3 linked regions of the Canis lupus familiaris genome follow. The protein of the gene in region 1 interacts with the protein of each later gene in a biochemical or structural test. Links are inferred from orthologs where the notes say so. Each region holds a gene or a part of one and is shown in the gene's direction. Other genes may lie near its edges.

Region 1 (5,691 bases):
AGAACAGAGTAAAGCCCCAAGATGTAAGATGTCCTGGAGAGTGTCTGCAAAGCGAGGTGAGAGTCCACGCAGGCAGGGGCACTGGGAAAAGAAGGGCAGGGCCAGATGTGAGTGACAGATGGAGTCTGAGAAATGTAGTGAGAAACCTTCAGACAATTAGAAAGAAAAATGAGGCAGAGGGTAGACTCACACTCAGAAGGAGGCAGCAGGCAGCTGAAATTCAAGGCATAGAAAAACAGGTCTGGAGAAGATTGAAGAAAGGACCAGGAGGATGTGGAGAAAACATGGGGAGGGGGGATTGAGCTACATATTTGGAGATAGGGCCTTTCTAATTAGTATGGGACATTTCAAGCATATGAAAAATCATAGAAAATAACAAACCTGTACAGTTTTTAAAATTTTACTATTTGTACCTAAAATAATCATATACATCCTCTTCACCAAGTGGGCTCCAAACCACAGGTTCCTCTTACCAAATTTTCTCCAAAGTTGGCCTCATATATAGTAAAATTACAAAGAATTTTAAACTACTGTGTGTTGCTAGGCTTGAAATAGTTACATGCAAATTCAGTTACCTTCGCTATGGGGCCCATCATAACCTTTCGATAATACATTTTTTAAAAAGATTTTATTTATTTATTTATTTATTCATGAGAGACACAGAAAGAGAGAGTCAGAGACACAGGCAGAGAGAGAAGCAGGCTCCCGGCAAGGAGCCTGTTGTGGGACTCGATCCCAGGACCCGGGGATCATGACCTTAGCAGGAGGCAGACACTCAACCACTGAGTCACCCAGGCATTCCCGATAATACTTTTTTTTTTTTAAAGATTTTATTTATTTATTCATGAGAGACACAGAAAGAGCAGAGACACAGGCAGAGGGAGAAGCAGGCTCCATGCAGGGAGCCCAATGTGGGACTCGATCCCGGGTCTCCAGGATCACGCCCCGCGCCAAAGGCAGGCGCTAAAGTGCTGAGCCACCCAGGGATCCCCCAAGATAATACATGCCTTATAATGCCCACTGACTATTCTAAAATGCAATTCATAGATAATAAGCTTGCCAACACTCAAAATTCCAAAAAAATTAACATAAAGTCCTATTATATAAAGGAGAAATCAATTATAAAGTGTATTTCAATATATAAATAAGGCACAATCACTGCTAAAAGAAATAAGGCAACCAGGCACTTGTACCTAAAATCCCTGATGGTGACAGTACGGGTATTGCCTTTTTTTTTTTTTAGATTTTATTCATTCAAGAGAGACACAGAGGGAGACAGAGACACAGGCAGAGGGAGAAGCAGGCGCCTCACAGGGAGCCCGATGCGGGACCCGATCCTAGGACCCTGGGGTCACGCCCTGAGCCAGACAGACGCTCAACCGCTAGGCCGCCCAGGCGTCCCTATGTAGGATTTTTTAATTAAAAAAAAAAAATCTTGATTTTCTACCTCGCCTAGAGCTTGTTCTGAAGAGTGCTGCAGAAAAGTGTCGAAATAGAAAAAGTAAGTCATGAAACGAAAATCAGAAAGAGGAAACAGAGCCAGGATGACACCAAAGCCCTCGGGCTGTGTTCCGAGCCAGGGGAGGGGGCAGGACCCAAGTCCTCTCAACTGCCAGGAATATGGGTGCTGCTTTTTAGGTTATGATTTGTACTTTCCTGAACTTTTTTAAGGTTAAAGGAAGGAGAGAAGGAGGGTGATGAAGAGGAAGGAGAACTTCGCGAAGATGGAAAAAAAAAAATCCCTGCCCGCCCGGACGGAGACCGCCGCCCCCCCGCGCGCCCGCCCGCGCCCAGTCCTCCGCCCGCCGGGGCCACGTGACGCGGCCAAGATGGCCGAAGGGGAAGACGGCTCCCTGGCGGGGCGGGAACCGAGGCCGGAACCCGGAGAAGAGTTCGAGATCGTGGACCGCAGCCAGCTGCCTAGCCCCGGCGAACTGCGGAGCGCGGCGAAGCCTCAGGCGGGGTCGGAGGGCTGGTCGGCGCCCATCCTGACCCTGGCGCGGAAGGCCACGGGCAACCTGTCGGCGAGCTGCGGCGTCGCGCTGCGTGCGGCCGCAGCGCTGGGCGGCGCGGACGGCGGCGGGGACGGCGGCGCCGCCAGCGGAGCGCGCGCAGGTAGGCCGGGGCGGGGCGGCGGGGGTCGAGGGGCGGGGGGCCGCGCGCGCCCGCTGAGCGGGTGGGGAGCCGGGCTGGCGAGGGCGTCGAGGCTCCGAAGCCTGTCAGACGAGTTCTGCAGAACCAACCTGCTACACGTGTGCTTTACGCTGTGCGAGCCGAGCCAAGAGAGGTCAAGAGAGGTTTGGGTGCCCGGAGATCCGGCGGCCCCGCTACCGCACCAGGCAACATCCTGACCCTCGGTGCTGGATAAGAAAATGCACGAGTTAAAGCTTACGTTGTCTGTATTCATTTTTTAAAAACTGAGGAGCTGAGTCTCCAGTTCCGCTCTGGGCGGTGAACCTCGAGATGCGCGCTCCGACGTGGAAGTCAGGAGGCGGTGGTTCCAGGTGAGCCGTGCAGCCAGCTAGCAGTCTGATGCCCAGACTGTGCAATGGGGACTTTTGGGTTCCCCGGGGAGCTCTTCTCCTTTTCAGCCCTTGTTATCGGGGATAGACTTTCAGCATGTTAGAAGAATGGAAATAATGGAAATACTAAATGATGATTTTGAGTGTGAACTGGAAAGCCTTTTAAAAGCCAGATATGAAGAGCTGTGCTCACCCACAGAATAGCCACACGTAAGCAATGCTTAAATGTTAAATTAAGGGACGCCTGGGTGGCTCAGGGTTGGGCATCTGCCTTCGGATCAGGGCGTGATCCCGGGGTCCTGGGATCGAGTCCCACATAGGGCTGCCCCCACAGGGAGCCTGCTCCTCCCTCTGCCTGTGTCTCTGCCTCACTCTGTGTCTCATGAATAAATAAAATCTTTTTTAAAACATTAAATGGAAATTAAAATTTCAGTTCCGTCTTCATAGAAAGTGCTGTGGGGCAGAGTTGAAGAAAGTCGGGTGTTATATGTTGGCAAATCGAATTTAAAATTGAAATAAATAAAAATAAAAGTAAAAAAGAAACCACTGAGGAGGGCACTTGATGGGATGAGCGCTGGGTTTTATACTATATATTGGCAAATTGAATTTAAATAAAATTTAAAATAAATAGAGGGAAGTCGGTAGTGCTAAGAATCATAATGTGCCATCGAGGTTTCTTGATTCCCTCCTCCCCACGGGTAAATTTGCTGTTTAGAAGTCATCACTGAAAAAAAAAAAAAAAAAAAAAAAAAAAAAAAAAAATAGAAGTCATCACTGAACCAGCATAGTGAATCCTGAGAATTTCAGTGGTTGGGAAAGTAATGAGTAGAGGAAAGTTTACAAACGGACTTGTTTTGAGATTCTGGCAGTGGCAAAGAGGTGCAGAAGGTAATGAAGGCGGCTGTTCACACAGGAATCTAGTTCCCACTGCCTTTGCACACACCTGTGGGTGTTTGATTGTGAACCAGCCATTGCCTCCAGTGGTTTTCAGTGATTTCCAAAAGTCAAGGCATGAGGCGTTCTGGAGGCTTCTGAGATCATGGAGCAAAAGCAAATAATAAATGTTAGTCATCCACTGATATATGACATGTGCCAGTACCTAGAATAGCACCTGGCACAGTATAATAATAAATATCAGTTGAACACATGTATTTGGAAAATACTTGATTTCAATTTATAGTGGCGCTAAAAGTAGCAGCCAACATTTGTATCATTTGTTTCATGCTTACTAGGTGCCAGGTATTATTAGTCTTAGATCTGTACCTACGTTATATTCCTTTAACCCTCAAAATAACCTCAGGTGATAGCAGGACTGACTTCTGGGTGCGCATCAATGCATGGTTTGGCCAATGTGATCACCCAGGTACTGGGTGAGGTGCCCTACACTTTAAATTCTTATTATCTTCAAATGTGTGTTTTGTAAGTGAAACCTACTGGGACAGAGGAGCCCTGAGGGGCCTTGGAGCCAGCTGGTGTATGGTCCCACCTTCCACAGACCGGGAGGGGTACCTGCTGCAGCTGCCCTGGGGCTTCTGCCTGCCCACCCTAGCCCCTGCTCCATGGCCACTGCTAGCCCAGGGAGGGTTGGGGTTGTGCCCTCTGAATCTCAGGGCTTGGCTGGGTGGCCCCTTGCCAACCCAACCAGATACAGACTTCATCTCTGCAGGAAGTGGCAATCCCCTAGGGCCTTTAAAAGGGGAGAGGGAACTTCCATACCTCCACCCACGGAGCCAGCCTATGTGCCAGCCCATGTGCTTAGCCCCATTTTATAAAGAGGGAAACCAATTTTTTTAAAGATTTTTTTTTTTAATTTACTCATAGACACAGAGAGAGAGAGGCAGAGACACAGACAGAGGGAAAAGCAGGCTCCATGCAGGGAGCCTGATGTGGGACTCGATCCCGGGCCTCCGCTGCACCACCGGGGCTGCCCAGAAACCAAATTAAAGAGAAGTAATTTGACCAAGTTACTTCAAAGTAGCAGAGCCAGGGCTTGAGCCAGGCTGTTTCTCGAGCCTGTGCTTAATCATGACATTCAGTGCCTCAATGCCTATATAAGCAGAATGCCATATACCATAGGGATTATTTTAAATGTAAGGATAACATTAAAGGAATAACTACCCTCGGATTTGGCACAAATGGTGAATGAACATGGCTTACCCAGGGTGGCAGTGTGGGGAACTGCTGGGCTGTGTGGCCAGTGCAGAGGTAACTAGAATTTGAAGCCATCAAGTAGTATAGGAATAGGGATGGGGGGCAGCAGGCTCTGAAGGAGGCTTCAGAAAAGCAGGTCAGGAGAAAACAGTGGCCACCACTTCAGCCACGGCCAGGCCAGGGCCAGCTCATTCATCTCTTTTCCACTGATCCACATACACAAGCAGTGAGGACAGAGATTTTTCAGAAGAGCAGTGAAGGAGCAGAGATTAAATGTGAGCAGCGCTCTTGCCAGATAAAAATCCATTGGTGATGGAGGTTAAAGGAAACTGATGTGGATTAGTGTAGAACGCTTTGAATAGTTATTTTATTTTTTTAAAAAAGATTTTATTTATTTATTCATAGAGACACAGAGAGAGAGAGGCAGAGACACAGGCAGAGGGAGAAGCAGGCTCCATGCAGAGAGCCCAACGTGGGACTCGATCCAGGGTCCCCAGGATCACACCCTGGGCTGCAGGCGGCGCTAAACCGCTGCACCACCGGGGCTGCCCTGAATAGTTGTTTTAAAACGTTATCCCCCATGGGCCCTGTTAGCGCAGCGTGCCACTGTGATCCTGTACTCCGTGGTTGACAAAAAGAAATCACACCATACAAAATATCAGTGTAGAGTATGTCCTCCTGCACAGAAACTGTCCCCAATCCTATCAGAGCTTTCAGAGAGTGGTTGCAAAGCCTGCTTGTTCCTAAGAGTTAACATGACCAGCACAATGCTTGCGCATGGGTGCTCTTTTCTTCTATAATTACTTAGATATGTATTTGCGTCAGACAGGTGGTATGCATGATTATGCCTTTCTCTGTTCTCGTCCGTGGGAAATTTTATTTTCCATGTGTCTAAGTGTAACAGGTGTGTCTAAGTGACCCTCCCCAGCCAGTGGAGAAGCCCAGTAACATTTTCCATGTCATGCTGCTGAAATCCAGCTAGCCCTTGAGATAATGAGTGGAAATTCCTGACAGTTGG
Region 2 (5,750 bases), on another chromosome or scaffold:
TTCCAGCTTGACCTTTCCTGGTTTGGAATTCCTTTCTTTGCCCTGGGATTACAATGAGAAGTAATCAATAGACTAATCCATGTCTTCCTGCGGAGACCTCTTGCCTCCTTTATTTCTGTTTCTCAATCTCTCGGGCTTTTAGTCCTTTCTGGGTTGCATTATGGCTATTTATAAATGTGCCTTTTTAAAACCATAAACACCCTGGAAGCAGAGCTCTGTTTAATCTTTGCTTCCCCTGAAGCACCCACCCCTAGAGGGGTCTCCACAGATAATTTTTCGAGTAATCGAAAGCCTTTCCAATTCATAGACTGTTTTTGGGTTTGTGGTGTTTTAGCCCTGCGAGGTAAAAAAATAAATAATATCGTACATGTCTACTTTGCCAGGCTTGAGATGTTTACCAGTCACTAATCACTTGTTCAGATGTGTGCATTCTCAGATTAACCCTTAGATTGGGAGTTTTACAATCCCAGGGAGAGGTTCAAGTTCAAAAGTATGTACCTGAACTTAGATCACTTGTGCTGGCCTGCTGCTCTGGCAACATAGGTGGAAGGGCCTGATGGAGCAGGCAGGGTGCTGGGAGGCGCTGTCAGTGCTGCAGGCGACACAACAGGCGTGGTTCTGGTCTCATGGAGCATGCAGTCTAGTGGAGGATACAGAGCTAATGCCATCGTGGTACTACAGAATGAGTAGTTAAAGCTCCAGGCTGGAGTTCTGAAGGAGTGTGCTCTAGGAAAGTATGTTGGAAGGAAACCTGGCTCAGACTGGGGAACCCAGGAGGTAGTTAGTAGCTGGTCAGCATAGCAGAACAGCAGATGCCCAGGCCTGGATGGGAGAGAGGTGGAGTTCCAACAAGGGGAGCCTAAACAGTGGAGCAGGGGTGAGGGTGTGGTGGAGAGGGCCTTTGGCAGGTTTCCACCTTTCTCCTCAGAGGTATGAGGTCACAGCACATTTGCTTCACCTTCAGCCCCTCCTATGACTTGTGTTTGCCCCATTCTTGGGGCTACTTGGGGCATTACATCTATTCCTAGAAGGCTTGGGAAATCCTCCAGGAAGTCCATGGTGCTTTAAGTGTTGTCAGAGCTGCAAATGGTCCTGTGCATCCACGTGGTCTGCTTCTCCCTTTAGATAACCACGGAGATTTTGTGAAGAAAATACATTTCTCTAGCAATTTTTTGGCTGTACTTTTGCTTTTCTTTATTTTCAAGTGCTCCTTACCCCGTACGCTTTATTTCTTGAACCTGGATAAGTAGCATTAGATAGGGGTGAAAAGTCAAAATAAAACCAAATGGGGATAATGAGTTAGTAAGGAAGGACTTGAGTTTTCATTTGTCTAGTATGAAATAGCCTTGATAAAATACTGCATATCTCTGCTTCACTTTAGACACAGTTAATTGAACTTTTGAGCATCACAGATTAACTGATTAAATGATGATCAAAAGGCTTTCACCAATAGTATTCTAATGTCATGATACTTCCCAAATATGTTTTTGCTGTTTTTACTCACAATCTCATCTTTTCTCTAGTAGAGGCAATTAGAGAAAACTAATGGAATAGAAAATTCGTTTTTGAAACAGCAAAAGTAGCAGTTGAAATTGTGAACCTAAAACAAGAATCAACCAAAAGTCCTAAACTGTCACCTTCATTTATCATTGACTGTATTTGCATAGCATTGTTCCCCAAAAGTAAAACAATCAGGTTCCGGCTTCCAGACATTTGCCTCTTTGATAGCTAGTAAAGGAATGTGTGCCTAACCTTTAAACTCCTTCATGCTCTACGCTCATTTTTCTCCTCCAGAAAAGAAGTCTCTGTGTAGCTTGACAGGGATAGGATGAAAAATAAAGAGCCAGTGCTTACACAGAGTACCACTAATTAGCTACATCTACCTGCTTTTTAGCATATTAAGGCAATGTTTCACCTTCCAGAGACTGAGTAGTTTTTAACATTTTGCTGCCCTGAAACCAATACCACATACTGTATATAATATATACTGTGCATGTAATATACCACATACTGTATATAATATTGAATACTGTATATAACATTGTAATACAAAGTTGAAATTTTAAACAGGTTTCAGATTGAAACCCTGGATTTTAATATCTCTAAACTGAAACAGTGTTTCCTAAATATTGTTAGATTTACAGCATTCTTAAAGCCTTGACCAGTTAGTATGGCTTATAACTTCCTGAGGAACTCCAACCATCCAAGACTTGGGAAGTCAGAAATCGGCTGTAAGTAATGCCTAACACCAAGACTTGTGAGACAGAATTAACAAACTGAATAGGTAGTACCAAGCAGTAATGATCAGAAAGGAGCTAAAAAGTAAGTGGTGCCTGAAATGCCAGAAAAAAAATAATAAGGAGTAAAGCAGTCTACCACTGAGGAAACATCTAAGATAAATCTCTACACTTTGGAGTTCATGGTTTCTATAGTAAATACAGTTTGTGAAACAGAAACATTACAAATTCTTAGTCTTATGCTGATTTTTATTACAATATAGTCTTACTATTTTTATTTTGTGCCTTACTTTGTTTTTGTTTTTTTAAGATTTTATTTATTCATGAGAGAGAGAGAGAGAGAGAGAGGCAGAGACACAGGCAGAGGGAGAAGCAGGCTCCATGCAGGGAGCCTGACGTGGGACTCGATCCCAGGTCTCCAGGACCATGCCCCGGGCTGAAGGTGGCGCTAAACCGCTGAGCCACCCGGGCTGCCCTTGTGCCTTACTTTGAAAGCACAGTATTAAAATATTTACCACCTAATTTGGAGAATTATCAAGATATCTTCTTTTAAAAATATATCATTATAGACTGTTGTTGGTTGAATTGTATCTCCCAAAAGGCATATTTAGGTCCTAACCCCAAGGACCTGTGAATGTGACCTTATTTGGAAATAGACGTAATGTAATCAGGTCAAGACAGGTCCTATTGGATAAGGGTAAGCCCTAATCCAGTGACTGATATTCTTATAAAATGAGAGAAATCTGCATAGATAATGCAGAGAGAATGGGATACAAAGATGCAGGCTGAGATTGGAGTGATGTATCTACAAGCCAAGAATCACCAAGAATCTCCGGCAACCACCAGAAGCTAGAAAGAGGCAAGGAAGGATCCTTTCCTGGAGCCTCTGGGAAAGCATGGCCCTACTGACCTCTGATTTTGGACTTTTAGCCTCTAGAACTGTTAGACAATAAATTTCTCTACTTTTATACCATCCAGTCTGTGGTATTTTGTTATGGCAGCCCCAAAAAACTAATACATAGGCTTTGGTAGTTAGAATACGATTCATAGAGAAATTGGGGCTTATTAGGAGAGGTAGAGTTAGGAGGTTATTTCAGGCAAAGGAAATAACATCTCTAAAGTTATGTGGTACCAATAAAGTATAAAATAACTTACTGTTAGAGAAATCACCAAGATAACCGTTACCTTGTTAATTTCTTGAAAGAGGGGCATCTGGGTGGCTCAGTTGGTTAAGCGTCTGCTTTTGGCCTGGGTCATGATCCCAGGGTCCTGGGATCAAGCCCCACATTGGGCTCCCTCCTCATCAGGGAATTTGCTTCTTTCTGTGTGTGTGTGTGTGTGTGTGTGTGTGTATGCTTTCTGTCTGTGTGCTCTCTTTCTCAAATAAAATCTTTAAAAAAAATTTTGTAGTGCTCTCTCAAATAAAATCTTTAAAAAAATTTTAGTAAAAGACAGGGCATGTAAACAAGGTTAATGAAGGAAGCATATAACATCAGGATAAAGGACATTTCTATAAATTGAATACATTTATTATGTTTAATGTTTGTATTTTTCTTTTTCTCATTTGCTGAAAATTGGTGAACATTTTAAGAACCAGAGTTTGGGGAACACTACACCAATGGGTCTGGAACTGATGGGCCTCTGAGCCCCCTGGTGTGTGAAGGTGTGGGTTCTGATACAGTAGATGTGGAATGGATGGAGGTTCCACACCTGATCAGCTCCCAGGCCAGACAGGTACTGTTTGTTGGTTCAGGGCCCTATACTGTACAATGGCTCCAATACCATAGACTTTTGAAAACATTGTTCTTTAGAAAAGTAAAAGTTTGTGATAATTTTTCATGGTCATTTAAACTATAAAGCATTTCAGTCCTTACCTATGAATGTCTCACTCCTAAACCTTTATTTCCAGTCACATTCACTCAGGTTTAATATCTTATATTAAACTCTGTACCTAACTATTCCATTTGGATGGCCTGGGGTATCCTAACACAATGTGTCCCAGACCCAACTGATTACCTACTACTCCCCAACCTTCTATTTGTCTGATGTATCCATTTGCCTAAGGAGAAAGTTAGTCCAGTTTTAATTCTTCATCATCCTGTCTCCTGAGTCCAGTTGGTTTCTGTCTTTTTAAACTGACCCCTTAACATAGTTCAAGCTACCATTTACCCTAGAAGAGACAAGGGAAGATGACGTTGGGGTCAGATTAGTGGATTATAAGGAAAAAAAAACCATCATCCCAAGGTTCTTCATCACAGTGACTTGAGCAGCGATGCTAGTTGCTACCACTCGTGGCATGGCAGCCATGTAACTGCTTAAGCAGCATCAATAGTTGGCATGAACTCACTGGGCAAGGATGGACTTGGTGGTTTCTGGTAGGGGTGTGTTGGAAGGGGTCTTGGTCAAATTTATTTGGGGACCCAGACTATTGGTAACATGTGCCACAGCTTCATAGGAATATCATAATGATTTAAGTAAATGGTTGTGCTCCTTGAAAGATGATTATGTGTCAGCATAAATGTGCACTTTACTTCTAATAATAATAATAATGGTAAGGTCTCCTTTGTTAAGGACCATATCGCCAATGTTTTTTGAAAAGTAACTTGCACTTTGGGCCCTTTGTATGAACTAGCTATTATAGAATTCTTTTGTAAGGTTCAATACTATAGTGGTCACTTGTACCTGTATATAAGCAAGCTAGTGTGTTGATGTTCTTTGCTCTGAATATTTCTTTGGAATAAGAAGAAAGCTGATATTTCTTGAATTTCTTCTCATAAACCATCCCCTAGAGATTGGTTAGACTGCTGTCATGGATTTTTTTTTCCCCCATTCCTGAAAACCCCATTAGGATACATGCCAGTGAAACTAGTTTGAGGGAAAACCTTTGAATCCTCTGTGTTCTGTAATGCTTGTCTCTGTCCCTGCTTCTCTATCAGTCTCATCTTGATAAAGGACTACGCTCTATATGTTTGAAAAATACATTTTTTTTTTGCTTCTCTGTAGCTGTATGATTTAAAAGCTAAAATGACATGTAAGGTATGGATAAAGTAAGACAAGTGTAATGAATGGCACTATAACACATAAATGAAATAAGCACTGTATAGCTACAGATTTTCTTCCTTTGTAATCCCCCTCAAAGCTTTCCAAACCAAAATAAGTTTATATTGAAGAGATTTGACCAACAGAAATGAATCCCATAATGATGGCTGTGATACCTGGAGAAAGAATGCTTTGTGGCTCTGCCCTATGCTACTCAGAATGGTAAACTCTTGTATGGCAATACTTAGTTACATCAGTCTTTTGTTTCTGTTTCTCTTATGTGCTGTGTCTTTTGCATTTTAGTCTTCAAAGCAGCTAACAATATTTAGATATGGAGCTAGGGTACACTATTCATAAAATGCTAATAAATTATGAATGAGTGGATGTATTGTAGAGGTTTGTAATTTTTCAAATATGAAATTTTAATCATGCAGAAAAAATTGGGAACTTAAAAACAAAGTATTTTTCTCTCTT
Region 3 (5,844 bases), about 72 Mb from region 1:
GTGCAGTGTCTTCACATAGACTGAAGCGACAATCAGGGATTGGCGCTTAAGCTGCTACAAGAGGAAATAAGGGATAAAGAATACAACGGTGCTTCGGGGATGGGGGCTCCGGAGTCACATGTGCCTGAATTCCCAGCACTGCCAAGTTTTATGTATTTTACAAAGTCTTTGACTTACGTGACACCCAGTTTTCTCATTCATAAAATGACTGTGCGGGGATGTTGCAGAGATTAAATAAGAAAATATACATGATTCTTAGGTCAGTTCCTCTTTCACACTGAGTGTGCAAGAAGCATTAGCTAGTCACGAAGGTCTTCAACCCAAGGGGACAAGTGGATATAGTGAAACGTTCTGGCCAGACCTAAGCTCACAGCTGGACAAGTGATGCCAAATGGTTCACAGCTTCCTTCTTTCCTTTGCAAATTTCTTGATTTCAGAGATGTTGAATCATGAGCACAAAGTATGCTTATTGGAATTAAAGAATACAGGAAGGGCAGCTCTGGTGGCCCAGCGGTTCAGTGCCGCCTTCAGCCCAGGGCGTGATCCTGGAGACCCGGGATGGAGTCCCACGTCGGGCTCCCTGCATGGAGCCTGCTTCTCCCTCTGCCTGTGCCTCTGCCTGTGTCTCTCTCTGTGTCTCTCATGAATGAATGAATGAATAAATAAATAAATAAATAAATAAATAAATAAATAAATAAAATCTTAAAAAAATAAAAATAAAGAATACAGGAATAGAAGCATAGACCTCCAGGGCCAGAAGGGATTTCAACATAACCTTATATCGGATTATCACCTAATAGCCATTCCCACGTATTAAAAACGCGTATGTCAAGCGCTTTGTGTATATCACCTCATTTAACGCTCACAAGGACCCACGGGTGATAGGTATCATCATCCTCATTTTGCAGAAAAGACTGCGGATCTGGGAAATCAAGGGACGTGCCCAGCCGTGGGTCATCAGTAAGTGGAAGATCAGGGATTCGCAGCCGGGTCTTTCTGAAAATGAGACATGTGTGAACTGCCATACGGTTTTCCAAGGAAGTGTCCCGTCGCCGAGGCAAAGCCAGCTTCTGAAAGCTCCTCCTGCCGAGAGCCTGAGCTTCCTTTGGGTAAACTGAGGCAGGGCCGTCACCTGAGCCACCGGAAGCACCGAGCCTGGGGCCCACGATGCTTTCGTGGGGACCCGCAGAAATGTCTTCAGTGCTTTGAAAGTCAGGAAGGAAAGATGAATTTCCAGGTTAAAGAAAGTGTCGTGCGGTGTGACATTAAAACATCCCTCTCCACGCCAACGTAGCTGTAAAACGCTAACAATAGGAACACAGAAGTACAGGAACAGGCGATCCCCGTAACCGTCTCCGCAGGCACAGGCGGGCGTTGGGGTCCCCCGAGGGCCGCCCGCCGCCGGCTGCGCAGGGCCTTCCGGGAGGGTGGCAGGCCGGAGGCGCCGGGGTGCTGGGGTGCTCGGGCCCCGCGTCCCAGGGCCCCTCGGAGGGCAGAGGCGACCCACAACGGGAAGCGCCACGTTCCGGCTGCTGGATCCCGGGCCCCCGGCTCGATCGACGCGAGCCTCAGTTTCGCCATCGGTACAATGGGGCCAAGAGCCTCCTGCGGCTGCGGGACGGGGACGCGTGCCCTCGGGCCCCGCTGCGGGCGGGCGCAGCAGACTGTGCCCGGCGTGGGGCGCGCGGCGCGGGCGTGTCCGGCAGGCGGGGGCGGGGGGGCGGGGGCCGGGGCCGGGGCCGGGGCGCCGGGAGCCGCAGGGTCCACCGAGCGCCGAGCCCGGCCCGCCCCGCCCCGGCCCGGCCCGCCCCCAGCAGGTGCCGCGCGCGCCTGCGCAGGAGCGCCCCTGGGAAGCGGGCGCCGGCCGCTGCGCCTGCGCACAAGCGCCGCCCTCCGCCCCTCCAGGCGCCGCCGCCCGCGGGGCGGGTCTCGGCGGCCGCGCGGCGAGTCCCGAGGGCCGCGGCGGGGAAGGGGCGTGGCCAGCAGGCCGGGCCGGCCGCCGTCTTCCGGGCCCCGCCGGCTGCGCGCGCAGCCTCCTCCCCCCGCTTCTTTTGTGGTCCGGCCCATTGCGAGGGTGACAGGAAACCCTGTGCAGGGAGCGCCGCCATCTTGGACCTGCCCGAGGAGATCCTGAGGGAGCCGCGGAGCCGTCGCCGCCGCCCCCGCCGCTGCCGCCGGCGCGCCTGCACCTCGTCGGCCAGCCCGCCGCCCCCGGGGCCCCGGCCGCCCGCCCGCCCGCCCGCCCGCCCGCGCCGCCCGCCGCGCCCGCTTCCTCGTCCTGACGCCCCCCGCCCGCCCGGAAAGCTGCCCAGCCACCAGCAACCCCCCAGGTGAGCCGGGCCTTCCGCAGCGTCCGTCGGGCCGCGGCCGCCTGGCGCGGGGGCGGGGGGCGGGGGCGGGGGCGCCGCGGGCGGGCCGGCCGGGGGGCGGGGGCGGCGGGGGCGCGGGCGAGGGCGCGGGCGAGGGCGTGTGCGGCCGGCCGCCGCCGCCCCCGCGAGCCCGGACGTGGAGCCCCGGCCCCGGCGCCGGCCCGCGTGGGCCCGGGCACAAAGGCGGCAGCTGGAGGCCTCGCCGGCGCGGCGGGGCTCGGTGTCCTTGTCGGCGGGGCCGCGGCGGAGGGCCGGGGCGGTGAGGGCCCTGAGGGCCGGGGAGGCTGAGGGCCGCGGCTGCTGAGGGCCGGGGCGGCCCGGACGGCGCCGAGCTTGGGTGGCGTCGGCCCGCCGTGAAGGCGACAAAAAGTTGTGGGTTTTGAGCGTTTCTGGGACTGGAGGGGAGACGGCGGAGCAGGGAGCCCGTCGCCGGTGGCCCTGGCTGCCGACTGCGCCGGCTCCGCTTGGCCCGGTCGGGCCCGGGCTGGGGGCTGCGAGGTCCGCGTCCCCGTCCCCGCCCCCGGCGCCCCCCGCCGCGAGCCCCCGCGCCCTCCGGCCTCGCCGCCTCACCTGCAGGGCGGGTGTAAGGTCAGTCGTTGCTTGCAGAGGAGGGAAGGCGGTCGCGGGAGGCCGCGGGAGGCTCCTCTAAAGCCGAACGGCCCCAGATTCTTGAGGCTCAAGCGACGTCTTTCAAGTCTCTGCTTCTGACGACCCAGCCCGGGCCCGTCCCGCCGCGAGCGTCTTTACGTAACCGCGGTAGGAGAGGGCTCCGCGGGAGCGGCCTCGGCCCAGGCAGGACGCCGGAGCCCGGGACGTCTGGTGCGGCCGAGACACGCCTGCGCGCGGACGGGCTGCGCCTCGGAACTTGAGGGCGTAGCTTCCAGCGTGTGCGGGGGGGTCCCGGGAGTGTCGGGGTCGCCCCCCCCCCCCCCGCCACGTTGCTTTGAGGACCGTTCCCTTCAGACATCACGTTTCATCAGTGAAACTTTGGCCGTTTCTGGCCCTCTTAGTGCTTGTAGTAAAGTAGGTGCGGGCCCCTGGCTGGTTCTTGCCCTTGAAGCACGGCTGCGGCGCCCAAGCACTTTCTTCCTAGGCTGCGGCCATGACGGCAGAACTGCCCTGCTCGTGGCACAGTAGAAACCCGGCTCTTTTTCTTGTATTAGTTGATGCAAAGATGTGACATTGACTGTCCTGCCAAGAGTGAGTTTTTTAAAGTGGAGGTCAGAATGGGTGGGCTCTTCTCCGAGGTTGCGTTACTGCTGAGACCGCGCATTCGGATTCCCCGAGCACAGCACCGGTCTACACTGTGTCCCCGGCACAGCCTGTTAGCGAGTCCGACCGCCGCTAAGTCTCCGGGAGGCGGGCGCGACGCTCCTCTTGGTCGCTCCTGCCTTGTCAAAGCCTCACGCAGACTCTGTGCTTCGCAGATGCTCAACAAGGATTTCCGTGTTGGGATCACAGTGCTTTTGGGCGCTCGGTCCAGTTCTGTGTCTATAACGAGATGTCTTACGTGTAGCAAAACCCCAAACCAAGCTTAGTAATGTTAATAATGAGGATCAGAATGTAAATCACCTGGAATCTTTGTGGGTTGTTTTTGTCCTGTGTTGTCTTGAATAAGTTATGTAAAAATTACATCGTAGCATCGTTCGTCCTAAGAAGTAGAATAAAATAGCCGTTTAATGGTTGTGAGAGGATTAGTCAGACGTAGTGCCTGAGTGAACACAGTAAAAGCCAAGGTATTAAAAAAGAAAAAATGCTGTCAATTTTCGGAGTGTGTTTTTTGAGGCCGATCATATGATTGACTTTCCCCATATTATTATGAATTTCCCCATATTATTGTAAATGTGTAAGTAATGTTGGAACTATTATGAATGGGAGTTGTTTTATTTTTGGAAAATATTTATTCTAGAGAGATTGAAGGCATGTGAGTAGGGCTGGGGCTGGGGCTGGGGCAGAGGGAGAGAAAATCTTCAAGCCGACTCCTGAGATGATGACCTGGGCCAAAGTCCAGAGTTGACCACTTAACTGAATGGGCCACCCAGGCGCTGCTTGTTTTTGTTGATTCTTGTTTGTTTTGTATTAGAATAGTTCTTTATCTACTTTGAATACTTTAGAATATCACCAGTGAATATAGCACATGCTTACACTGTTAATAGAGTTATATAAAGTTAATAATTTCTCCCTATCCTTTTTCTTCTCAGTCCACATACTCATTTTTCACAATTTGGTGTGTATCCTTCCATATTATCTGTATACAGGTTTGAGGGAGAGTGTGTGTATGTGTGTGTGTTTAAAAATGGGATATGCCACTGCATAAAATTCTATCAACTTTTTTTTTTCCACTTAAAAATCATGGATATATTTTTAAGTTTATTATCCATCTCTGAATGGTTTTTAAACTAGAAGCATGTTATTTCATGATACTTTAGTCATTTCCCTGTTGATAGAAGTATAGATTGTTTCCAGTTTTTTTGGTTTTGGGTTTTGTTTTGTTTGCTGTATAAGTACTGCATTAGATGCAGTTGGACCTATAACCTTATGGATTGAAGATCTTGTATCTGTAGGCTACTTCTTGGTCACAGTTGATTGGGATTATCTTTAAGATTTTAAAATATATTGTTTACTTCCCAAAAAAATGTGGCAATTCAGACTCTTGTAAGCAGAGTGTATGAAAGGTCCTTAACCTTCTCGTCTGCATGCACATTTCAAATACAGTCATTTATATATCTGTTTAATTTCACTTGGAGATGTATCTAACTATATGGAGACCATGCGACTTTATTTTGGGGGCAACAATGATTTGTCTTTAATGTGTATTTAGTAACCATGTAGATCTCTGTGTATTGGCCTGGAAATGGATCCATGATTTTGTTAAGTGAAAAACATGCAGTTTGATGCAGTAGCATACCCCATTTTAAAATATATTCCTTACCTTAAGGGTGTTTCTTGTGTTGAAGATTTAATGTTAATCTCAAAAAATCCGTTGTTAAAGGAGTATTAGGCATAGTTAATATTTAAAGGGACTACACCACAATCATCAGTGTTTGGTATGCATGTAGTAATCATTAGTCTTGACAAGAAGTTTAGTGCTAAGTTTTACATGCAGTGATAGTAAGGCCTGACCCTAAATATTTCGTGTAATTATCTTCCATTTTTCTTTGATTTTTTTTTTTTTTTTTTAAGTTTTATTTGTTCATGAGACACACTGAAAGAGGCAGAGACACAGGCAGAGGGACAAGCAGGCTGTCAGTGGGGAGCCCTATATGGGACTCCATCCCAGGACCCCGGGATCGTGCCCTGAGCCGAAGGCAGACGCTCAACTGCTGAGCCACCCAGGCGCCCTGTTTTGGTTTTATCAGTTTACATATGTATGTATATCAGTCCACATACATATATGCTTTTAATAACCCGCCTTAGAGAAAATCATGTTCTTTGGAGTCAGGCCTGGGTTCAGATTCCAGCTCTGCCATTTACT

The links.
Region 2: the proteins of RUFY1 (region 1) and RAB4A form a complex in vitro, tested with the Homo sapiens proteins (2 studies listed by BioGRID). The link is inferred for Canis lupus familiaris from reciprocal best matches to the Homo sapiens genes RUFY1 and RAB4A.
Region 3: the proteins of RUFY1 (region 1) and RAB14 form a complex in vitro, tested with the Homo sapiens proteins (2 studies listed by BioGRID). The link is inferred for Canis lupus familiaris from reciprocal best matches to the Homo sapiens genes RUFY1 and RAB14.

The regions. Positions count from the first base shown.
Region 1 is NC_049232.1:2,388,864-2,394,554, reverse strand, and holds the start of RUFY1 (RUN and FYVE domain-containing protein 1), read left to right. Parts: upstream 1-1,809; 5' UTR 1,810-1,829; coding exon 1,830-2,115; intron 2,116-2,172; exon of another isoform or gene 2,173-2,504; intron 2,505-5,691. UniProt on the Homo sapiens protein: Activating adapter involved in cargo sorting from early/recycling endosomes. Regulates retrieval of proteins from endosomes to the trans-Golgi network through interaction with the dynein-dynactin complex.
Region 2 is NC_049225.1:10,361,593-10,367,342, reverse strand, and holds the start of RAB4A (ras-related protein Rab-4A), read left to right. Parts: upstream 1-2,151; 5' UTR 2,152-2,170; coding exon 2,171-2,231; intron 2,232-5,750. UniProt on the Homo sapiens protein: The small GTPases Rab are key regulators of intracellular membrane trafficking, from the formation of transport vesicles to their fusion with membranes.
Region 3 is NC_049232.1:74,591,442-74,597,285, reverse strand, and holds the start of RAB14 (ras-related protein Rab-14), read left to right. Parts: upstream 1-2,245; 5' UTR 2,246-2,330; intron 2,331-2,939; exon of another isoform or gene 2,940-3,232; intron 3,233-5,844.